Arabidopsis thaliana: one gene and its partners. The protein of the gene in region 1 interacts with the protein of each later gene in a pairwise test. Each region holds a gene or a part of one and is shown on either strand. Other genes may lie near its edges. The genes, in order: AT5G02530, AT5G25490 and TOR1.

Evidence for each region.
Region 2: the proteins of AT5G02530 (region 1) and AT5G25490 interact in a two-hybrid assay, tested with the Arabidopsis thaliana proteins (one large-scale study listed by BioGRID).
Region 3: the proteins of AT5G02530 (region 1) and TOR1 interact in a two-hybrid assay, tested with the Arabidopsis thaliana proteins (one large-scale study listed by BioGRID).

What each region holds. Positions count from the first base shown.
Region 1 is NC_003076.8:562,274-570,824, forward strand, and holds AT5G02530 (RNA-binding (RRM/RBD/RNP motifs) family protein), read right to left. Parts: upstream 3,653-8,551; 5' UTR 3,504-3,652; coding exon 3,315-3,503; intron 3,183-3,314; coding exon 2,997-3,182; intron 2,906-2,996; coding exon 2,837-2,905; intron 2,753-2,836; coding exon 2,514-2,752; exon of another isoform or gene 2,255-2,513; coding exon 2,059-2,254; 3' UTR 1,812-2,058; downstream 1-1,811. Other genes in the region: AT5G02520 (dentin sialophosphoprotein-like protein), read left to right, coding at 1-984, 1,076-1,157, 1,244-1,302, 1,375-1,432, 1,521-1,567; AT5G02540 (NAD(P)-binding Rossmann-fold superfamily protein), read left to right, coding at 6,336-6,453, 6,571-6,802, 7,307-7,386, 7,483-7,636, 7,714-7,792, 7,920-8,004, 8,078-8,124, 8,247-8,447. UniProt on the Arabidopsis thaliana protein: Export adapter involved in nuclear export of spliced and unspliced mRNA.
Region 2 is NC_003076.8:8,872,290-8,880,840, forward strand, and holds AT5G25490 (Ran BP2/NZF zinc finger-like superfamily protein), read left to right. Parts: upstream 1-4,031; 5' UTR 4,032-4,247; intron 4,248-4,343; 5' UTR 4,344-4,349; coding exon 4,350-4,771; intron 4,772-4,959; coding exon 4,960-5,050; 3' UTR 5,051-5,085; exon of another isoform or gene 5,086-5,270; 3' UTR 5,271-5,615; downstream 5,616-8,551.
Region 3 is NC_003075.7:13,581,280-13,589,830, forward strand, and holds TOR1 (ARM repeat superfamily protein), read right to left. Parts: upstream 3,972-8,551; 5' UTR 3,792-3,971; coding exon 3,069-3,791; intron 2,744-3,068; coding exon 2,552-2,743; intron 2,076-2,551; coding exon 594-2,075; intron 500-593; coding exon 302-499; 3' UTR 7-301; downstream 1-6. Other genes in the region: TSB2 (tryptophan synthase beta-subunit 2), read left to right, coding at 5,285-5,641, 6,017-6,373, 6,449-6,891, 6,979-7,073, 7,165-7,340; PDIL5-4 (PDI-like 5-4), read left to right, coding at 7,877-7,917, 8,115-8,270, 8,359-8,449. UniProt on the Arabidopsis thaliana protein: Plant-specific microtubule-associated protein (MAP) that regulates the orientation of cortical microtubules and the direction of organ growth. Determines microtubule organization by modulating microtubule severing.

The DNA of each region.
Region 1 (8,551 bases):
TCTCTTCATCTGCAAATAAAAAGGATACTTGAATCGAGTAAAGTCCGGAAGACTGCTAATGATGGAGATCATGGTAGTGAATTTTTGAATACGGCTAAGCGCGGTGATGTAGAAAGAGATGGATGTGAGGTTATCAATAATGAAGACAGTGAATGGAAACTCGATGAAAGTGAAGTCCAGAATCTTTGTAATGATGGAGATAATGGTAGTGAAGGTTTCATTAAGGCTAAGAGCAGTGATGTAGAAAAAGATAAGAGCGAAGCTATCGATAATGATGTGATATCTCCAGCGGTTGGAAGTGGTATTAAGCATACCGGTGCAGATAATGTTGATAAAGTGACAAGTGCAAGTGCTACTGGAGAATCACTTACTTCGGAACAGCAAAATGGTTTACTTGTAACAACAGCATCTCCACATTCCCTGCTTAAAGACTTAGCCAAGAGTAGCAAACCTGAAAAGAAAGGAATATCCAAGAAAAGTGGCAAGATCCTCAGAAGTGACGACAATGTAGTAGATCCCATGAATTACTCTGGGACGAAAGTCAAAAGTGCGGAAAACAAAAGGAAAATCGATGCGAGTAAACTCCAGAGTCCGACTAGTAATGTTGCAGAACATAGTAAGGAAGGTTTAAATAATGCTAAGAGCAATGACGTAGAAAAAGATGTATGTGTGGCTATCAATAATGAAGTGATATCACCAGTGAAGGGATTTGGTAAAAGGCTTTCTGGTACAGATGTTGAAAGATTAACAAGTAAGAATGCTACTAAAGAATCACTGACGTCAGTACAGCGAAAAGGTAGAGTGAAGGTATCGAAGGCATTTCAAGATCCCCTGTCGAAAGGAAAATCAAAGAAAAGTGAGAAGACCCTTCAAAGTAACAGCAATGTTGTAGAGCCTATGAATCATTTCAGGTCTGAAGCTGAAGAAGCTGAAGAAAACTTGTCATGGGAAAAAATAAAGAGGAAAATCGACTTTGATGTGGAGGTAACCACTTCCCCTTATGCCACCACTTACATGGTTATCCTCTGATATTCCTGTTTGAGTGTTAATGCTCTTGTTGTTATGTAATTCAAAGGTAACACCGGAAAAAAAAGTGAAGCAGCAGAAGACCAATGCGGCGTCTACTGATTCATTGGGACAGAAACGGTCAAGATCAGGTTAATAGAGAGTAGAAAATCTTCACTTCCAAAGGGCTCTGTTGAAAGCATTAGTTAAAAAAAGAATTTTGTTTAATGTTTTGCAGGAAGGGTGCTTGTGTCATCACTAGAGTTTTGGCGTAACCAAATTCCTGTTTATGATATGGTTTGTGATTTGATTTCCTTAACACTAGACCAACCATGGGAACAGAGTCTTTAACATTGTCTGGGTTTGCAGGATCGGAACCTTATCCAAGTAAAGGATGGTAGTGAGACTAACTCCGCTCCATCTAAAGGTTAGTTCTTTAAAGCTGTTTTTTGATGAAAACGGCTTTCACTATATAATACAATATTTGTTGTTTTTTTCTTTCTTCTTCTTGATAGGAAAAGGATCGGATTCTCGAAAGCGAAGAAACTTGAAAATCAAATAAACTATTTCAAACTTTCGTAATTAATAAGTAGGTTTATTATGGTCTCTGACCCTGTAATCATAATTAATAAGTAGGTTTGTTATGGTCTCTGACCCTGTCTGTAATCATTTTGTTGGTCGTGAAACTCTCTTAATATTTTAGTATTACTAGCTTCCTTTATTTTTTTTACAAAGTAAATTCATAGTGGATCTCGTTTGCTTCAAGCTCAAAAGTTTGAAACGACAAAGTATACGTAGTAAGAGAGTAGATAGAATTGTGTTTTGAATTGATATTTTAGAAGAGTTTTGAGTTCCACGGTACACACAATGCTTGTTTCTCTGAACTCAACTGCAAAAAGCTAAGAAGCTCACCAAGAGAAGAAAAAACAAAAGCTAAAGCTCGAAAATGTCAGACCCATTGACATTCAATCTAAAGATCATACTAATACAAAAGCATATCGGCACTAAAGGAAGGAATACATGTAGACATGCAATAGGTTTAATCTCCCCTTTCTAACTTGTTTCCATTGCCTCTTTGTGGTACTTGTCCAATTCAGCATCAAGATCCTCTGCAGATACGTTTTCATCACGTCCTCTTCCACCACTGCCACGACCACCACGTCCTCTAGCTCCCCTGCCACCTCTGAAATTACCACCGCCAAAACCACCACCACGAGGACGCCCCATAAAACCGCCTCTTCCTCTGCCTCTGTGGCATAACAGGTTATCCAAAATATTTAATAGGAGTACAAGGTTCGTGTAATCTACCTATCAGGATATACTTGGCCTAACCAAAAAAGCATTTCGTCAATATACTAACTCAAGAACAAAACATAGGCCATCTTAACAGAAGAACAAAACATAAGTATTTCATCAAGATACTAACTGACTTAGCAATAGATTGATAGACCCTAGCAAATGATACTATGAAGTTTCCATATTGAACAAAGTGTGGAAACAAGACAAACCTGAAGTTTCCATTGAAGTTGCCATTGAAATTGCCATTAAAGTTCTCATTAAAGTTGCCAAGTATCCCATTAGTAGGAAAAGGAATCTGAGCTGTAGCAAGAATGGGAAGAGCTGGAGCAGAAAGATTAGTCCCAACAATCTCTATCTTCATCAGTTTTCCATCCAACTGAACATTGTTGTAACGCTTGACAGCTGCCAATGCATCCCCACGCCTCGAGAAAACAACTTCAGCAGTCCCCTGAAAGCATCATTAAGTTTAATCATGACAAGACGATTCAATAAACAAATCTCTGAAGCACAATAAAGCTTATCAAGTAAGTACCTTTGATCTTCCACTCCTATCATAGTGAATCCCATATCGCTTAAGATCACCAACCTCAGAGAAAAGCTCCTACAAGCAAAACCATCTCAAGATCAGAAACAAAACCACAATTTTTCTCATAAGTAAGACTGGAACTATAATAAACTTCTAAAGCACAAACCTTGATATCTTCGTTGGAGACACCATAGTCTAAGTTTGAAATGTAAAGCTTAGTTCCAGTCTCGATAGACGAGCCACCACCAACAACAGCAGTCTGATGATGCCCAAAAGCCGCCGCCACAGACGCATCAGTCGCGAAGACGTCGTTTTGCCACATCGCATCATGAGCTTGTTGTTGTTGAATCGGCTGTTTTATTCGTCAAAGAAGAAACGAAAACAGATCTCAGCTTTTTTTGATTTCACAAAAACCCTAAAAGGAATTCTCTGATTCTTGAAGGAAGAGAAGGTAAAGGGAGAGATATAAAATCAATGGGCTGACCCTTGAATACGGCGCCGTTCTGGCTCCTACGCGGTTAGCAAACCGACGAGACGGACCGGAATTAGAACCGGAACCACCGCGACCACCGGTGTTATTGCCACCTCCAATGCCTCCTCGGCCGCGAGATCCAGTAGGTTTTCGATTAGATTTGATGATATCATCAAGTGACATATCTAAGCCACCTGACATCTTCGCCGGATCTTTTCTCCGATATCGAGAAATGTAGCTAGGGTTTTGTTGCTCTGAGATTTCAAAGATGGAATTACGCACCGCGAGAGTGAGAGAGAGAGAAACAGATATTATCTTCTCGGAGAATTACGATAAACACCTCAGCTTTAATCAATATTGTTTTGTTGCCCTTAAACTCTTACGTTTTACTAAATAGACCCCTGAGTTCTTAATGGGCCTTTTGGACTCATAAAAATCCAGTGGCCCATCCTCATTGTCCACTTCAACTTATTATATTTTTTTCCCTCCGGCCATTGTCATAATCAAAGATGTGGACAAGTACATGTGAAGCACACGCATTGCCTGTATGGGCACAGTATGTGACTGTATCACAACGTACATACACATTCACGTATTAATATTAGTAAGTCAACCCTTTTTTTTCTTTGTTTATCTCAATTTGGAAAACAAATCTTGCCTTGCTATTTAACAAATTACTTGTACCATGAGTGTTAAAGACATCTTTATAACCTGACCAGAAGATTTTATGTAGAATTCTAGACGAATTATGAAATTTTTAATGGTTAAGTGGACTTTTTTATTATATGATATACAGATTTGTATTCAAATGATGACACATTAATTACTATACAAAATATTTAAATATGTTGATAAAAACAAAATGTGGTTAACAAAAAATTATTGATATCTTTGATCCATGGAATAATAACCGTTGCACAATAGTATTTTTTGAGCTGCCTTTTTTGGCAGTAATATAATATAAGGAAATAAATAGTCAATATCGTTAGACGTTATAGTCTCACATGGTCACATCACTTCCCCATACAAATGAGCCAATGAGCCGGATGTCATGTGCCAGTCGCCGCTAAAAACATGATAGATAGAGTAAATGCCTTCATTATTCTACTTACATAATTCGACTATCCTAATATATAGGTGCTAGATCTAGCAATATAATCTCTTCTGTTTCTTCTTTTTTTTTTTTTTTTTTTTACTGAAGCAGTTACAAATGTAGGTTGGTCCATTCTATTTAGATTTGTTTCGTTGCATGCCAAACAAAATAATGTTAACCGGTTATAGAGTACTAAACAAACAAAATAATCGCTAAATATAAGTTCAGCTTTGAAAAGAATATACTCTCAGCTACCACGACAAGTTTGTTCAACTATCAGTTTTACATCATAAAGCATTATAGGTTTTGATTGTTTAAATCACGAATTAGTATGTTGAAACAATAATAACAATAATAAATATGGCATTAATCTCGATAGTGGTGTGTGTGTGTACCTTTGTGTAAATCTACCACCTAACAATGTCATTATGAGGCTCTCTCAGCAATCAATTTTGCAAGGCAAAAAAAAGAAAGATCCAAATCTCGTAGTTGGATTCTCTGAACTTGGAAACGGGATGTGAAAGGAACATCGATATCTATGAGCACGGGCTATGAATTAATTTTATACATTCTGTATTGTTTCTTTATCCAAATAAGTATATATCTTTCTTTATCTGCCGGTCAAAAACTCTGTAAACGACCGATGAAGTATTCTTGAGTAGAGTTTTAATGATTTTCTTTAGTATAAGATTTATGCTCTTCAGTTGTTTAAAATTTGTACGAGACCTTGTTTAGTTATGTTAGGTTTTCTTCTTTATTTTCTATCAAGAACATCCAATGCAGGTTTGAATATGGATGACAAAGTCAAGTATTTTCGTCTCTACATGAAAGAAACAAACCCACACCACTTTGATTTTGTTGGTTTAGACTATAGTCATCGGTTTAGTTGCATAATAACCTCCCTAAGTTTTGGGGAAAAAATGAAACTAATTAGATGGTTAATTAAATGAAACTCGCCCCTAAATTAGGAGGGATTTGGGTAAGTGGTAACACATTCACTGGAAACATGTGAAGAAAGGAGGATGTCAAGTAGCTGAAAACTCAGTATAGTAACCAACGGCTTCTCACCAACCTTTCATTAATAATTTGGTCATCCCTATATTTTTATTCAACATTTTGTTTTTCAATAGCTTAGAGCACCTTAATACCTTTCAGTGTTTTTTTATAAAAAAAAACAAAAATTGGGATTAATCATCAATCCCCAAATGTAACGTTTACTTAGATTATGTTCATTTTTCTATACACACAAATCATATTCTTTTGTTTTAATCTTCGAAAAACGAGAGGACATTAAATACCCCTAAAAAAGGAGGGGACATTACTACCAACGTACATTAACATGTTTGATAGCAAACGATTTATTTTGTTCGTTTTGAAAAGGGGAAAGTAATGTGTAAATTATGTAAAGATTAATAAACTTTTATGGTATAGTAACATTTTCGAATAATAAGAGAGGGAAAACACTCGCCATTGTCGGCAATTTAGAACCAATATTAGAAGGGTTTTTTTAGAGAAAAAGGACTTAAAAGTTTAGAGACCTTAACAACAACTTATTTAGAAATAGACATGCTTAAGTTGACAACAGCGAGTTTATTTTCTATATCGAAGAAAAATACGAACTTTTTCTTAATTAGATTTCGAATGCATGCACTATCGAGAATCGACCGTCACAAGAAAAAACTAATATACATACTGTACATATCTATATTCAATATTGGTGGGGATGGGTTTAATGTGTATTTATAATTCATGGATAAATTCACACAATAAGGTCCATGAAACTAGAAGGTACCAAAAATAAGCATTAATGACTCTTTGCCACTTATATATATGATTCTCTCATAGTACCATTTTATTCTCCCAAACCTATCTTCTTCTTCCTCTCTTGTCTCTCTCGCTCTCTCTCTTCTACATTGTTTCTTGAGGTCAATCTATTAAAAATGGGATTATATTCACTAATCACAGGAAGAAGAGGACCAAGTGGATTTGGTTCAGCTTCAACAGCTGAAGAGGTTACTCAAGGGATTGATGCAACTAATCTCACTGCAATTATCACAGGTTCACATATGCATATGCATACATTTACAAAAAAATTACATCGCTACGTTTTTGAACATGTTTTAATTATTTATTGCTAACAAAACTTGGTATGTGATTTATTATTATTGTAATAAGGAGGGACAGGAGGAATAGGGATGGAGACAGCGAGAGTGCTGTCGAAGAGAGGTGCTCATGTGGTGATCGGTGCCCGAAACATGGGAGCTGCAGAAAACGCCAAAACAGAGATTCTCAGACAAAACGCAAACGCACGTGTCACTCTTCTTCAATTAGATCTCTCTTCCATCAAATCCATCAAAGCCTTTGTTCGTGAATTTCATGCCCTCCATCTTCCTCTCAATCTCCTCATGTACACATTCTCTCTTTCTCTCATTCAGTTTAAAGCGTTTGCACCGCCTTTTTTAGCGTTTGGATTATTGATTCTTATGACAATTACAGGCTTTGAATGGTTTCCACATTAACAACGTTAATTAACACTGTTTTGGTTACCATTCCTCTGTTATTGTGTAGTACTACTATTTACGTTAGTTAGGTAATAAACAACGACACCCAATAATTATTTATGCAGCTTTTTCTTTTTTGATGTTTAATGCTGTGACAATGACATTATTTTTTCGCTCTAAACATTTGACTTCTTTCTTCTTGTTTTGACAACATCAATGTTACTTTACATTTTCCAATGTGGTATCATTTATTACTACCAAATCTCTACACACGTATCACTAGATTTGTAGATGTGTGTAGCAAGAAAAATAAATGTTATCTGTTTTTATTTTATTTTTTTGGGTGAAAAAAAAAAGTGCATACTTTTAATTAATAATTATAACAATTGTACACAAAATGGATTTTGCAGAAACAATGCAGGAGTAATGTTCTGTCCATACCAACTCTCTGAAGATGGAATCGAATTGCAGTTTGCTACAAATCACATTGGTAAATCCTATATTTATAAAAAAGTTAAAGAAACTTGGTTTCAGAAATTAAACCTGAAAATATTGAAATTTTTAATTCTTGAATTATACTGTATAGGTCACTTTCTGTTGACAAACTTGCTCTTGGACACAATGAAGAACACAGCTAAAACCAGTGGTGTTGAAGGAAGAATTTTGAATGTATCATCTGTAGCTCATATCTATACTTACCAAGAAGGAATCCAATTCGACAGCATCAATGACATTTGCAGGTAAATTCTACAGTTTTTGACTTGTTTCAAAACTAAATAAATCTTGATCTTGTAACCATGTTTTTTCTTTCTCTCAGTTACTCGGATAAGCGAGCTTACGGACAATCGAAACTAGCCAATATATTGCATGCTAATGAGCTCTCCCGTCAGCTTCAGGTCGCCTTCACACACACTGACAAACACAAACACATATATGATATTTCAAAGTGTTAGTACTATCTCAAATTTATAAACACTTGAGAAAATAAAAACTCAAAATCTTTTTGGGGACATTGTTTGGTAGGAAGAAGGAGTAAACATAACAGCAAATTCAGTTCACCCTGGTCTTATTCTCACCAATCTCTTCCAACACACTGCTCTTTTAATGAGTAAGATTTCACATCATTTTCTTAGTTTCTCTGTTTCTCTTCAAATCATTCCTTTTAATTCCGTTTTTGGCAGGGTTCCTGAAGTTCTTCAGCTTCTACTTGTGGAAAAATATACCTCAGGTACTATACTAGTAGATAGAATCCTAAGACTAAGCCAAATTCAAGATCTTACTCTATGACTATGTTACTAAATAAAGACAAATCTAAGAACAATATTTTGATGCTTCTTGTGATGTTGTCAGGGAGCAGCAACAACATGTTATGTTGCTCTGCATCCAAGTGTGAAGGGAGTAACAGGAAAGTACTTTGCTGATTGCAACGAAGTCACTCCAAGCAAACTTGCTAGAGATGAGACTTTGGCACAGAAACTCTGGGATTTCAGTGTTAAGCTCATTAACTCGGTTTCTAAAAAGAACTACCTCGGTTTCGATGACACCACTTGAATCTCTACGGTGTTCTTGTTGAATGTTACCTAAAGAGTGAAAAAAAAGTAAGAACAAGTAGAGATTGTGATGTTTCTTTCCACATTATCGTATGGTAACTCATG
Region 2 (8,551 bases), 8.3 Mb from region 1:
ATATTGTTCTGTTTAGTAATAGAACCATACCACGCTTGTTCGGTTTATTGTTAGAACCATGTTTTTTGTTTTTTGTCGTTTTTCTTTATTAATTAGCAAGAAAACCCTCAAACTAGCCAATATGTTTCAAAATAACCCTCAACTTACAAAAAATAAAAAACAATCCTTAACCAATTTTTGTTTTTTTTTTCGTTAACCAATTTTAGTTACCACTGTTTTATATATTAAGGTTAAGGATATGTTATTTTGGGGAATTACATGGCATATCAAACACTTTGCTTTTTAGTATGTGTGAAAGTATGTTGTGGGTTTTTTATGTCTAATCTTTCATTTCATGGGGATATAAAATTAGCTAACAATCAACAAATTAACAAACAAACAAAAAAGACTCTAGCTAACATTGATCTAGGCTGAATCTTTGGACCTTCTAGTGTTCTTCATGTTCATACTATATGAACTTTGATTCCACGTAGGTTTGTTTGGATGGTTTTAGTGAGATTGAAAAGGATTGATAGAAATATTTTATAAGTAATTCATAGTTAGAGTGAGGTACAAAGTTGATTTACAATAAAATTGAGAAAGACCCAAACTACAATCTAGAAATTTAGGAATTGATTTTTTTATTTCGATACGCGAACACGGAACCTACAAACACTATCTATTTGATCTCCATTCATATGCGAGGAATTAATTACTCTTGCATTATTGATCATATGTAAGTAGATAAATTAACTTTCTAAAAACATTTCGGTCGCCATCGTATTAGTTGAGATTTTTGATTACTACTTATGTAAGTGCGGATGAGGTAATAATAAAGTGCAGAAAGTAAAGAGATAAGAAATTTGTTAACGAGGTTCGGTTTTTCCTACTCCCCGGGACCACGTCCAGATTTCGATTTCACTAGAACAAGAAAGCAAATTACAATGAATTCGCAAACGCGTAAAACAAGCACACCCCTCTTGATTTACCGCTCCCTTCTATAAACGTGAAACCTTAAGGATAATCTCTACCCTTAACTAAACTCCCCTGAGTCTAGATTTAATCAGGATAACCTAACCCTGAGTTAAACTCCTTCTGAGCCTAGACTTCAATTCTCCAAGTCTCTGGAATAACCTTCACGCACCAACAAACAAGCTTGATCACACAAGCACCAAACCCGCGAAACTATGTCGCATAAAACCGTGAAACTATGTCGCACACACCCTTAGAAAGCTCTCAATGATTTGTCTTTATGTCTCAGCTCTCCTGCCTCTCCAAGACGTCCTACCTCCTCCTTATGTAGCCAAAACGATTTCCTAATCACCATAGGAGAAGATTTCCTTTTTCCATAAGAAAAAGTAAATTTACTCTTATCCTTTTTCTCATCAAACTCCACTTTCATCAAGTCTTCCAAATCTCTTTAAGTCCTTTTTCTTTTTTGATTCATCCTCTAAACACGCTCTTCTCAAATCTTCTAGAAACCGATACTCACACAAAACTGTCGCATCCTGAATTATTTCTTGAATCATTCAGCAATTTTATCAGATAAAATCATGTATTACTTCTTGTATCATTCAACACTTTCATCAGCAGCAGCTACATCTTCAACTTAGTCCTGTAATTTATTTTCTTAACATACAATTGAATTCAGCTAATCGTCCTTGCGAATGATCAAATGCATAGATAATTGTATCATCCTAAATAAAAGACGTGGGGAAATCATATGACATCTAGAACTTTGGAGAAGGGGGAGATAAGTGATGATGCATGGAAGCATTTCCCAAAGATAATCGAATAGATTCTCTCTTTTCTTTTGTGTTCGTCAGTTTTTCTTTACCATTCCCCGAGACAATATGGTGGGTTTATTAATTATTTTGATTCTTCTATAATTCTTCCCATTATTTTTATATATTCTTTTTAAGTTACCCATTCTTTTTTCTTCAATGTCGAGACGTCGAGTTAGTTAGCTTTTACGGCGACTTATGGATAAGGCATTACGCTCGGAGCCATGGACTGAGTTGGATAGATATAATGCGTATAATATTTAATCCCCATAACCTATATTTTAATTCCTATACATTGTAATGGTAGCATCTCAACTTTAAGGTTAGAGTTGGAACCTTAAAGTTTATGAATATTACAAAACACTTGTATGGGGGTGGAGTGCATGAAAATTAGAGCTGGGATGTATATATGGGAATATATATGCACTACATTATCTTACATTTTACATTGAAAAAATATTAGAAGATATTGTTCTTCATTTATTTAAGTATATTTTTACTGCTGGTGTATTCTACTGCCCTATATATATCTCGAAAGTTAAATAAATTCATATGTTATATAACTTTTAGTCATTCGTGGCATTCTTCTGTTACATCTTACTGTGGATTTTTCGTCTTATTATCTTATAGCTGACTCTTACTTTAGAGAGACAAGTATACCACAATGGAAAGGGTGATTTGACGGTAAAAAAAGCGATTGCAGTGTACCCACAAACGACAATTTATAATTTGTATGTGGGATATATAGTAAGGGAAATAAAAATCATAGGGTTAAATAGAAAAAGTGAATGAAACTGTCTTGTAGTTGTAGTAGACGAATCAAAAGGACACGTAGATGGTCAAGATACGAACCTCAAAGCCTTTTCCCTCCCATTTAATGATTCTTGTTTTTGTTTTAATCTATAATTTTTCATGATTTTCTTAAGTCTTTGTTTTGAAAATCACGAACGAATAAGTTCTGATGGATGTACTTGAATATTAGTAACAAGACTAATTGAATTAAAGAAAAGAGAAGTTATTCCTTTGACGTTTATAATTTTCCGCGGCTAAGGGAACATATACGTTCCTTGAAACTGTTGCCATGCAACTTTTGCTTTAACAGTTTAGAGAGTTTTTTACTTCATGCTACATCCTTTTTCTCCTGACACACACAAGAGCATATTATACATCCATGTACCTCCTCCATCGACCATCAATATATAGATACATGTGATTATTAATTATCTACATAAAAAGTTATACCACGAAGTTGCGATTGATAATATGAAAGTGGTACATGCTCGAAATAGATAATGAGAATATATCAGCTTTAGTTGTCTCATCGTTAGTCAATCTATATGTGCATATACAGTTAACAAGAAATCTATAAGCATATACGAACTGGGGTCCCAATAAGGTCTAAGAATCTTTTTTTTCTTTTTTTCTTTTCTTTGCTTTGCTTTAGTTTAGTTTGTGAAATTTAGTGAAAATTTCATTTTGTCTCATAGAGAAACCACATGTTAGTCAAAAATTATATAGTAAGTCCAAGAAAACTATATTAATATACCCATATTACCATATAGTCGGAGATTTCTAGTATCTCTAGTTTAGTTCTTCTTATTCATTATCAATTCAAGTGTTATAAAACCTCGAGACCAATAAAATAGGATTCACTCTCCTTCGTGCCCCCAAAGATATAGGTTTACATATCTATATTTCCACACCACCATTTTAAAAGCAAGAGTTAATTAAAGAGATATTTTTTAGTCATCTTGGTATGTAATCTGGTAAACTTTTTAGTTTGTTATCTTGTATAAACAACCAGTAAGATTTTGGTTCTTTTGTAAATACTTCTCTTTGAATTTAGGACTAGTGTTTTAAAATTACTTTCCTCCCATATTTTTGTTTTGATCTTTCAATTTAAATTAAAAGTTCGTTTACAACCCATGCATGCACACTTCCGAATTTAAACTCGGATTATAATTTGGCACTATAATAATCTATTAGAATACGTCTTGATTAATTTTAAAATATTTAGGTGTCTTAAAATAAGTACGTACGTTGATAAATATGGAGATATATACATCTGTCAAGTAAATGGTATTGAATTTGCCAGTATTAGCTTTTGTGAAGCTGACGCAAAATGAAAACGGCTGATATCTAAAGCTTTAACCTTGTGTTTCTTTTTTTTGTTTAAAATAGTGGGGTCTAGAAATGATAAATTAATTTAAAGTCCTCGATATATATAAATAGATAAATTTGTTTCTTTTGGGAATAACGTAGTTTACGGAGAAACCCAAATGTTAAAGGGAAATGCATTAAAGCTGTAGCAAAATAAGAAAGTAAAAACCAATTGAAACCCTAATTTCACTTCAAAAAATGTTCCCGGTTGTTAAAGGAAGGGCCTTTTGCTTTGTCCATATAAATATATTGTGAGAGTACAACAACACCTTCATAAGCTCTTACACTCATTTCAACTCTCTTTTTCGTTTCCATTACCCTCAGGTAATCATAACATATATATAAGTTACATTTGTAGATACATATGTCTTTAGTTTTGTGTAATTTGTTACTTAATTATTATTTTCTATGGTGTTGTAGAAGAAGATGAATAGGCCGGGAGATTGGAACTGCAGATTGTGTAGCCACCTCAACTTCCAGAGGAGGGATTCATGCCAACGTTGTAGAGAGCCTAGACCGGGCGGGATCAGTACCGATTTACTCAGCGGTTTTGGTGGCCGTCCGGTTAGTAGCTCCTTCGGTTTCAACACCGGGCCCGATGTGCGACCCGGGGATTGGTATTGCAACCTTGGGGATTGTGGGACACATAATTTTGCCAATAGGTCCAGTTGTTTCAAGTGTGGTGCCGCAAAAGATGAGTTTTCATGCTCAAGTGCTGCTGCAACAACCGGGTTTATGGACATGAATGTTGGTCCGAGACGTGGCCTTTTTGGTTTTGGCGGCAGCAGTAGTGGTGGTGGTGGTACGGGCCGTTCTCCTTGGAAATCTGGAGATTGGATTTGCCCAAGGTACTTTTTTGTTTGATTGTTTCTATGTATTGATGTTATTTTTTTGCAATAATATGTTTTGATGGTTAAAACTTAAAGCCAAAAAAGAAACATGCATGCTGGCTTACGTAAGCTAAACACGACCGTTTAAATTGTATTAATGTATATGCATATCGTAGAAACTGATTGGTTTAATTTGTATATTATAGGTCAGGCTGTAACGAACATAACTTCGCAAGCAGGTCAGAGTGTTTCAGGTGTAACGCACCAAAGGAACTTGCCACCGAACCACCCTATTAGTCATTTAGTCCTCCTACCTTCTTCATCATTTCCAAGTACTTTTCGTTTCAACAATAGTCTTAACTTCTGATCAGAAACAGTTCGACATATATATTTGGATGATAGAATTTGTTAACATTTACAACTTTATTATATCGTAAAAGTTTAAATAGTAGTGTGAAATACACTAACGATAGTACTTTAACGTTAACGTACGTATCTTTTTGATTATTTTTTTTAGTACTCTGGAAGCATTAGAGGAGAGCAGAAAGGTGAAGAATCGAAGCAAGATACCGACCGCCCTTAATCTCTTGATTTGTTTAATTTCTTAGATTTGACTCGTTTTATATCTCGTAGTAGTCAGACCTATGTTAGAATGTAAGCATGTCGAGAGTTTTCCGAAGCATTTTGTTCTGATATCGGTCTCCTAGCTAGTATGTAAGTTTGTTTGAATGTATTCTTATTTCTGATAAAGTTGTTTCCTTCTGATTCCGCAATCACGATTCTCATCTAAGTTTGAAACACTTGAGTTGTTGAACGTACGAGAGGCTGAGAGCTGTTGAGAACTTCTTCTGTGGCCGCAAATCCAAATTGCATGCAAATGTTATTATATATGCAATTAAAATTTTGTTATATAATTTGTAGTAGGAATGTAGTTTTACGTTAAACCAAACACAAACTCTAGTAACCGTTTGAAATGGGTAGATGCATGGACCACAACGAAACCTTTTGTCCAATGCCTCAAAAAAAAATATGCATGAGCATTCATATTATGATGTGGCTTGGTGATAATGAGCTTACCACCAAATCGAATGAAAATGTATGAGTTCCACTCTAAAATGAGAATAGTTATCAGAAAATATTAATTATGTTATATATCATTAATTAGTTTAGAATTCTAATTTATTTTCTTGGTAACATTAAGTTGCAAAATTAATTTTAATTAAATACAAATACGGATTTCACTATATATTAAATTGCGTATTCAAGGCCATCTTTTCGCACATACATTCGAGCAGTCGAACAAAACCCATAAGAAGATTTTTGCAATGAAGTTTTGTCATAAACAACAATATTGCAACTGATCGATGACCGTTTCCTTAATTGTTTGTAATGGGTGGTATACTTAAAAATTTGTTTTCAAAATGTAAGTAAGAAAGAAAAAAATCAGTAACGCATTTTTCATATTTACCATTCAACTTTTGATCCTGCTTATTTTTGTACTGTTTGTTCCGTCTCGCAGTACTAATTAGAACTACACTTTTTTTGGTCAAAACACTAACTACATTTTTTTTGCTTGATCTACTACTCAATATATTTTTGTTTTTATCGCTCGTTCTATACTGCCACGTACGATTGAGACTCTAAAATAGAGCAAGCGTACGTTGGTACGTGTCCACACACACGTTGCATTTTGCATAGGATTCCAATTTACTGAACTCATGGAAGTGTAGTTAAGATTATCATCAACGGGTCAAAAAAAAAAAAGACAACCAGTCTTTAATGTCTGCTACTATAATCCATTGCTTAGCTTTTATTTTTTCGTTAAAGGGTTGCACTAATTGGCTTTTTACTAAAGAATCTTTCGTTTTTCCCCCACTTTGAAGTCAATTCATCATTTGATTCTTCTTTGGTTTTAGTGAAGTGAAAGTACGTCTTAGGTATGATTATCATGCATGCATCATAGTGAACGTCTTCCCACTTTGAATTTCAAAACTATCAATTATTAGATTCGATTTAGATATGAATATATAATAATAGTATTTCAAAATGCATAAATTAGGTTGTGAATTGTAGACGATAAAATACAACCAGCTTAGTAATCTTCTTCTAATTATCAAATATATAGCATAATTCCTAAATCATATGTTTATTCTCATTAACTAACATAGTAGGTAATTCTGTTCATATGATTTAGCTAAATGCACGGTTTCATAATCACCTAAAGATCCATAAGCAATCATCAAATTACAATTAGTGTCAAACTAAGCACTACTTAAAATTCAGTGTTGGCGGAGAATAATATAAGACACATCTAATTACAATGGTAAGGATAGATGTGTGCAACAGTGCAAGTATATGTATAGCTTTAATCATAACTTATTAGTGTTTCTTTTAATGAGCAAATGAGAGAGACTTGTCGATGACCAATCTAAGTAAAGTGTACATCACTTGTTAAATAAACAAATATATTCTTACTGTTAAAGTCAATTTTTATAACAAAAGCAATAGCAAAGATAACTTTTTATCCATTTCAAAAACACCCTTACACAACGCTAATAAATTCTTAAATTTTGGGAAAAATTGCGGTAACTTTTATAAAAGTTTTAAAATTTATCTTTAACCCACATAAAAAAGCAAAGCATGTTCATCTTTCTAAGCCCTTTTTTTCTTAGCCCTTCTTTCTTTTGTTTCACATTTCCACATTCTTCCTAATAATTTCTATCTTTATGCAAAGCACACAATTGACATGGATGGAGCATATGCATATGTATTTGATGAAAACTTATTTTCTGGTACAGTATAATTCCACCAGAAAATTGAAGCCTCCACACGAATATTGTTTTTTTTTTTTTCTTTTTTTTTTACAAGATGTGATATACATAATGATTTAAATTTGATTGGTGACACGTTAACGACACTAAGACAGATTGTGAGTTTCCACGTGAGTTTGTTATCAAAGTATTTGTTTAACATTTGAGGACTCAAGATTCATATTCTAACATTATCAAATACTATTTTCTTACATAAAATGAAAATATCACCTATTGTTCAATTAGGAAAAAAAAATTGAAGGAAAAAGAAGATAATTTAAAATACTTTTAAGTTGGAATGCATGTAGATTAAGATTATTAAAAAATTAGAAAATGGCAAAAATATTTAACCAATAAACGGTGGTTCAGTGATTCAAAAGTTATTCTAAGATGGTACGAAATAGAGTTCACATTTTGTCATTTGTTTTCTATCATTGTTGGTAATATCGTGGGCATTTTAACATGTACTAGGTATAATATTGCAAAATAAAACAAAACTGTGCAAGATTTGGCGACACAATCCATCATGATTCCGATGGTTCCACTCTGAGATTGTTCATGGATTAGTTCGAAGAGTCGATCTCACATGACACGCGTGGAATCAGTGATCCAAGGTTTTGTGTTCTGCATTGTTGATAGCTTAGTTTCTTCGGACCCCAAGTAAAACACTTCCACTGCTAAGAATGTGTTTCATTTGTCTTTACATTTTGCATCATCGTTTTTCGTTCTCAATAGCTCAATGCAGTGATCTTCAAAATCATTTTCACTTCTTTAGACACCGATAATTTCATTGCTTTCGTCGAGTCGATGAACTGATTTGAGTTTGTGATTTTGCTTCATGCTTTTATTTTATTTTACTATGAGACCAAAAATAAAGTTTAAAATCTTGATCGTAAACAAAACATTTTCATTGAATCATTTTTCTGGGCCAAAAGAGGCCTTTTTAATGGCCCATTAATGATCCAAACGCGATTACCAAGCTCTTCGC
Region 3 (8,551 bases), on another chromosome or scaffold:
ACTTTATTTTAAAAGTCTGTTATAAAATTAGGGATTTATTAATGATATTCTTAAAATAATTTCTGTCTTATTTATTTGTTCTTCAAAGTTCCGGCTTTTTCAATTAAGCAAAAGGAAGAATGACAAAATATTGTAAAACTCAAATACATAGCAATATTTGATCAATTCCAGTCATCTTTTACGGGTTTTTAATAAGAAAAATCAAACTCTAGACTCTAGAGTCTAGATGTTGAATCCTGTCTGTACGAAAATTATGAACAACAACGGTACTGAAGTTAAAGCTCCGTTCACAAGCTCATGTTTACTTGTCGAACTGTTGGAGATCGATTTCCCAAACTGATGCCAACTGCACCACGAGCTGTTCCGGCGCAGGACCTTCCCAGTCTTCAGGTGGATCCATAGTCGAACATGCGTCTTGTAAGTTGTACAAGATCTCTGTCTTCAGTTCCATTGGAACTCCAAACGTGTCTGCACCGTCTTGTAAAACCAATTCCAACAGCTGCAAATGGAATGGCAAAAAGAGAGAAAGAGAGGTTAAAGACAAAACATATGTGTGATTCTTGGAACCCAGTAATGTACTGTAAGAGATGTACCTGTTGACTCCAAGATAAGCAAATGTCGTAGAGACTATGATCCAGCAGAAACTGAGAGATGAAGTTTAGAGCTTCATTGGCAATCTCATTCGACATCTGGTCAAGAGAAGGTCCCGTCTTGTCCATCAGCTTGATGACCAAGTGCTGGTCACCAGCACAGAGGACTTCTGCGTAAGCAGCATCAATGTCACCAACACGGAGTGAGTGCATTGCATTACTCCATGAAACCCATATCGGGTCACGTTCCTGCCCTTCGTTATCATCATCTCCCATGGCTTCAGCTTCAGGGGCAACAGCCACTCGGGTTGGACGAGGGACTGCACCATCCTCGCCGGCTACTCTAATAGCTTCAAGTGTAGCTTCATCCTTTGATGCTTGCCACACACTTCTTGCTGAAGGGCCTTCACCAAATCTAATAGTTCCAGATGCTTTATTATCCCACCCTCTCCTGCCATTACCCATGTGCTCATTCTCATATTGTTCTGACCGAGGTGATCTTCTTGGCCCGGCTTGTCCGTTTCTGGAAGCAGCATGTGGAGGTATGAACCAGTCATCTGCCATGTCAGAATTCCACATTCTCCCCCTCATAGCTCCATCTGTTTGTGAGCCTCTTTCCCCTGGAGCTCGACCATTATACTTTCCAGTTGGATAGTTAGCAAAACTATTATATTTGCCAAACCCAGCTGTGAGATTAGCCCTACGACCTGATGATATCGAAAGATCTCTTGCCATGTCTTCAACAATCCTTTCTAAACCCCTTACTCTGCCCTCCAAGGTCACCATACTGTCATGTGAGCCACCAATAAACTCTTGGAGCATGTTCATAAGATTTGTTTGTTGTCTCTCTAGCTGCAACAACTGCCTCTGGATGGCTGACCAATTTCCTCTATTACTTGTGAAGGATCCTTCAGATTGGTTATCAGTATTGGAGACAGGAGCGTGATGTCCAGGTGTCTCTTTTCCGTTTACAACACCAGCCTTATCATCACCAGATGTCCTTGCTTGTGATCCGTTCCCATCAAACCTACCTTTTACCTGTTTATCATCTGCTTGGGTGTTCTTGAGGCGATTTGAAGATCCCATGGCATTGAGATCATCGAGTCCTGATTCTTCCTCATCATTGTTTTTACATCTACGAGGAACTACTACTTCCACGGATTGCCTTCTTTCTAGTCTTTGGAAAAACTCAGGATTAAAATCTTTATCACTTAAGACAGGTGCTTTCTTCTTCAACAGTCCTACTGCTTTTTCAGGAAAACATCCTTTTCCTTTAGAAGCAGAGTCTGGTGAGAGAGTGGAACCATCGGATGCCTCCTTTTTCATTAGATCAGCTAGATTAGACCTTTTCTCCCCGTTCTTCTCTGATCCAAGCTGCTCACTAGCTGAAAGCTTTGAATCATCTGAAGCACCATCGACATATTTTCCAGAAATCTTCTTCCATAACTGCAGCGCCTCTGTCACACTTTCCCTAACAGGTTTGATCTGTCCAAGAAAATTCCATCAGTAAAGTGTCTTGAGAAGATCATTCCATGTCCTAAGTAATAGAATTTTGATGAATGTGTAGAGAGCCATAATCCATTTCATAAAACATCCAGCCATTTCAATGCTCAGTAGTGAAAGAAAAATTATAGATGACTGAAAATTCTTGAGATATGTAAATCATATAGTAGTCAAAAATCAAAAGGTAAGGCTTCGTGAGAATTTCAAGCTACTTGCTTGTGCGTTTCATCAGCATAGCAAATGAGGAGAAAGGTCCAAAAGCACTATCAACCACTAACAGATATGTCTGAGCTGCTGATGACATTTACAAGGAATTGAAGAGCTTATGGGGTTTACGTTTACTTCACTACAGGACCACTTTAGATTACTAGAAAAATGTAGCTACCTTGTAAAAAATGACGTGTCTCAAACACGATAATAGTGGAATTAGATTAATTAGAGAAAGAAAAGATAGCTACCTTGTCAAACCGGCAGGTCTCAAGCACGGTAATGGTGGAATCGGTTTTTTCCTTAATTAAACCGCTTGAATGTGATGCCAATGCAGTCAGGGTCTCAGCCGCAGCTTTTCGTGTTACCCAATCTGTACTTCCAAGGCAATCATGGATGCTTTCTAGCAATGACTCCAAGCTCTGAGGTGCAATGGCTCCCACCTGAATCAAAGTAATTGCTCTTTACTTCTCTTTTTCATAAACAGATTTAACCACTAAACCTACTAGCATTGAACTACCAGAAGTAAAGAGAGAGAGAGATATTAAACCCCTCAAAATTTCACTGAGACTTGTATGCTCAAATCAAACAATAAACTTCAGCAACACCTAACAGAAAAAGTGTCGGATTAAGACTAAAACCTCAAGCAGTGTTATTTACTAAAACTTTGTGTTCTACTTACTGACACTGATATTCAAAATTCACCATATTCTTCCATTTGCTGTCTATAGCATGACAAGGAGGAGATTATAAGGATTCTGGGCAAACCTGAGAGAGACTTGAAACAACTGGCAAAAGGGAAGCCTTAGCAAGGAAACTGGAATTGCTCAATAGCTTGCAAATTCTAGGGCAAAGCTTTTGGAAAGAAGTAACTGGAGGACTAGCAGCTGATTCAACCATCCTAGCCATACACATTGAAGCTCCAGATTGTACCACTTTGTTCTGCTCTCCCATTGCCTCAAACAATGGCTTAACGAACAAACCCACCGCTAACGACGCTGAACCAGTATTAGTCCCCTCTTCTTTTCCCTTGAGATAAATCCCAGACAAAGCACCAATCGTATCTCTACAAGCATCCCTAACTCCAGAATCAGAATCCTTCAACCGTTTAACTATCTGAGCGATGATTTTAGTGAGATGCGCAGCCGTCGAATCGCAATGGAGACTACAAACGTAGGAGAGAAGATGGAGACACTCCTTCTTCACTGCAGGTTTCGGATCGGAGCACGAATCGTAGAGACAATTGAGAAACATCGGTAGGGTTTCGGGAGTGAGAGATTGAATAGTTTTCTCGAGATCCTCGACGGCGATCTGGTATGTATCTCGATCGGCGAGCTTAGAGATTGAGGTAAGGATCTTTTGCTTCAGCTCCACCATTGCTTGGAACGAAGTGAGGGAACCGGAATTGGAACATGACCTAGTTGCTAAACTCGACGACCGTGCTGGTCTCGTCGGTTTCGCCGCCGAACCGGAAGTTGTAGGTGTGCTCATTTCTAAATCTCCGACGAGAGATTAGATTAATCGGAGAAGAAGATAGACGAGTTGGAGAAGAAAGACGAGATCTGACACTCGAAAGTGTAACAGTTAAGACTGGAATCAGAAATGTGTCGCTCAATTTTATTAGTATTTCACTTTTTCAATTTTTTCAAATTTTAATATTGCATAATTTTCAGTATCTGGATTTTGCATTTGTCGCGGAAAATCGGGTGTGAAAGACAAAGTATGAAAATATAGTTTAAATTCGTGATACTTCGTTTAAATTAATAATCAATAATACGAGTTCTAGTGTAATATATAAACATCCATGCAAATAAGTTCGGACATTATCAAATTTAGAGACATCACGTTCTACATTATGGATTGTTAATTTTTATTTCAAAATTTAAGTTAAAAAAAATAAAAATAAAGAATCTAATTATTCAAAATGTCAAATTGGTTTCTTGTACAAAAACATGGCTTGATATATGGATTAAGGAATTTTTTACATGGTACTATAAGTCAATAATGAATGGTTCAAGGAATTTTACATGGTACACTAACGAATGCTTTAAGGAATTGTGATTGCTATTAGTTGTTTAGGTTGTCGTTAAGATTGTTACGTTACGTACACTTTGTTGGAGTTAGAGTCGAGCAATGCACATTGGAGAGGCTTCCGAGTGAGTCCGCATGCATATACCATTCATTTTTTAGCTTCAACGACTCAAAGGCCTTCGTCTGGTGTTTAATGCACGTGTGTAAATCATAAATGGATCAGAGGCTGGTGGTTCATCGGACCAACAAGGTCTGCCTAAATGACAAGTTAAGACGGTAAAATCGATAAGAGACAAACCTTACCGATTTGATATTTATTTTTTTTGGTTCGAATATGTAATCGATTAGTGTCATTTTGACTATTTGCATGTTGGTCATTAAAAGATCAACCACATTTTATTATTTTAAGTACAAAATAAAAAATACAAGAAACTTAATAAAGTTTTGGAAAACGTTTAAAAATCATGAAATTAAACTAAAACTATATAGTTAGTTCATTTGTATTAATTTAACCATAAGTACATGTCTTTGTAATCCTTTTATTTATCAACTCCACCAAAAACAAAACGAGTAGTAGTACGTCGTTCATTAGCACTATTAGAAGCCTTTGAATCATATTAGCAAAAACTGCTATACGTCATTTTGTCCAAAGAGGACGTTTACCAAAAGAAAATAGATAACACTAAAATTAGGCATGTGATAAACACTCCAACCCCCAAAATGTACACCGCCCTATTCTCACCAACCTCTTCTGACTCTTCTCTCATTTTCTGTTGTTCACAAATAAGTTAACGTGGTACCGAACTACCGATTTCCTCCACTATTTTATTGAATTTCTGGTCAAAAAACTTAAGTGTTACATAACGAATCTATAAAAAGAACCCTCACTTTCAAGGTTTTTGTCAGCAAAACATTTGTCTTCGTGTTTGAAAGCTAGATAAAAGATTCACTAAATGGCCACCGCAAGCACCGCTGCTACTTTCAGACCCTCCTCCGTTTCAGCTTCTTCCGAATTAACCCATCTGAGATCACCCTCCAAACTCCCCAAATTTACGCCTCTGCCATCGGCTCGCTCACGGTCCTCTTCTTCGTTCTCCGTCTCCTGCACCATCGCTAAGGACCCAGCTGTTGTCATGGCGGACTCGGAGAAGATTAAGGCCGCTGGATCTGATCCGACTATGTGGCAACGACCTGATTCATTCGGTCGTTTCGGGAAGTTTGGCGGCAAGTACGTCCCCGAAACTCTAATGCACGCCCTCTCTGAACTCGAAACGGCTTTCTATTCGCTCGCCACCGACGAAGATTTCCAGGTATGCCTGCTGATTTTGTTTCCATCTTGTTCATAGTTTTTGAATCGATTCGAAATGATTTGGCTTTGTGAGTTTCTGATTCAAGCGTTGTCATTGCCATGGCTAGTGATAAAGTTTAAAAAACGGATTTTTTTGTTCCAATTCTAAAAAATAATCTGCCAAACAATGTTAAGCCGTATGGGACAAATCGATTTGTTTGCGATGTAGGATGTAATTCTGGGAAAGTGTTGTATTTTTCCAGAAATCTGGAAACGACATTCATTTCATATTCTTAGTTTCTTCAGCATTACATGCTTCTGTGTGATGTAAGTTAGAAGTCTTTTTGGTTAGTTCGTTTGTTGGGCAATGTCTAACTAATGTTTGATGAATCTGTAGAGAGAATTAGCAGAGATCTTGAAAGACTACGTTGGTCGGGAAAGTCCTCTTTACTTTGCAGAGAGGCTCACGGAGCATTACCGCCGTGAAAACGGTGAAGGGCCGCTCATATACCTCAAAAGGGAAGACTTGAACCACACCGGTGCTCACAAGATCAACAACGCTGTGGCTCAGGCTCTTCTCGCCAAGCGTCTAGGAAAGAAACGAATTATTGCTGAGACAGGGGCTGGTCAACATGGTGTAGCCACAGCTACTGTGTGTGCACGTTTCGGTTTGCAGTGCATTATCTACATGGGTGCTCAAGACATGGAGAGACAAGCTCTTAATGTGTTCAGAATGCGTCTTCTCGGTGCTGAGGTGATGTGAATTCTCTGCGTAAACCTTGCAAAATCGCAATGCTTTCAAATTGTTATCTAAGTCTGATGCTTGTAGGTAAGGGGAGTCCACTCTGGAACAGCCACTTTAAAGGACGCAACTTCTGAAGCTATAAGGGATTGGGTGACCAATGTGGAGACTACACATTACATATTGGGATCCGTTGCGGGTCCTCATCCTTATCCTATGATGGTCAGAGACTTTCACGCGGTGATTGGTAAAGAAACAAGGAAACAAGCGATGGAGAAATGGGGCGGGAAGCCTGATGTTCTGGTTGCTTGTGTCGGTGGTGGTTCAAATGCTATGGGACTCTTCCATGAATTTGTCGATGACACAGAGGTTCGAATGATTGGTGTGGAAGCCGCTGGATTTGGATTGGACAGCGGCAAACATGCTGCCACATTGACAAAAGGAGATGTCGGTGTACTCCACGGAGCTATGAGTTACTTGCTGCAAGATGATGATGGCCAAATCATTGAACCACACTCCATCAGTGCCGGGTAAGAGATTCTTCTCTGTTCAAAGTTGGTTTTAAGCCACATGTATCTGGTCACCTGTATCTAAAGAGTAAAAGTTGATGTTATCAGATTGGACTACCCTGGAGTCGGACCTGAGCATAGTTTCCTTAAAGACGTGGGAAGGGCTGAATACTTTAGCGTTACTGATGAAGAAGCATTAGAAGGTACTTACTTGACACTTCATTTTTCTCCTTTTAGATGTTTCTTTCACAACTCATGAGAACTTGCATTGTGTATTCTAATCTATGCGTGTAGCTTTCAAGAGAGTGTCTCGGTTGGAGGGAATAATCCCGGCATTGGAGACATCGCACGCATTGGCCCATCTGGAGAAGCTTTGTCCGACGTTACCTGATGGAGCCAGAGTGGTATTAAACTTCAGTGGGAGAGGCGACAAGGATGTTCAGACTGCAATCAAGTATCTCGAAGTTTAAAGAGTGTAGATTACTTTCATTTTCACACAGTGCTATTTCTTTTATGTAGTTTGTTAGTTCTCCTTGCTTATGGTCGGGAATCCAAAAGTTTGGATCAAAGGGTTAAGAAGAGAATAAGTGTTATGAATGTATCATATAAATAAAAATGTTCTATGGAACGTTTGATGTTCTTATAAGCAATTCGAACTGTTTTGTTCTTGACTTAGCTGGTTTTCCCTTTCATATCTTAATTTCACCAATGCTTAGAAAAAACAACTCTGATCGAATGATTTATAAACAACTCTGCTCTTTAATGGTGATCATTGTAAATTCAAACTTGTGTATTGTTTGTACTAATTTGTTCTGATAGAAACTATTTTGGGTTAAATGGGAAACGGGTCAAAGCATAGGGGGCTAGTGTTGTAATTTAGTAGATTGGGGAGGAGTTTCAAATCTGAACGCTGAAGATAAATCACAAGGGAGGTGCTTCGTCCTCGAAGCTTTTAGAACTTAGCCAAGCAGCTGTTGTTTCTTAGTTGACTCCCTCTCCGACGAAAATGGTGTCCACGAGCAAGATCAAATCCGTTGATTTCTATAGGTTTATGTCTGTTACTTTGTGTATTTTTTTCCCAGATTTCTCCAGCTTCTTTCTCCTGTTATATAGATTTCGAATTTCATCGATCTAGGCATGTGACTTGGATTTGTAGTGGTAGTTTACTATGAATTTTACTTGGGGAGAATCAACATTTTGTGGATTTTCTTACTCATTAGTGATAGGGTTTAGTTGTGGACAAGCGATCCTGAAGTTGTAGGTTTTGCCTCTCGTGTATGTGCATTGTCATTGTCTTTTGATCTTAGTGATATTGAGCTGTTTAGATGCTATTTTCTGGGATTTAAGATGATCGTTAGTCACTTCGATTTCGGTATTGTTGCTAAGAGAGTTGCTTCAAAGTTCAATGGAATCTGAGATTTGTGATTGTGGACGATAATACAGTACTTCAAATTTCATATATATTCTTTGGAAACTCTGTGCCTACAGGAAAATCCCGAGGGATTTGACAGAGGCGTCTCTGTCTGGTGCTGGATTGTCCATTATAGCAGCCCTCTCTATGATATTTCTATTTGGAATGGTAAGTTTCACCAGCTCACTGGACTTGTCATTATGTGGATGATTTTGACCATTCTGTGCCGATTGTTCAAGTTTCATTTTGTCCTTAATTTATATTAACTGC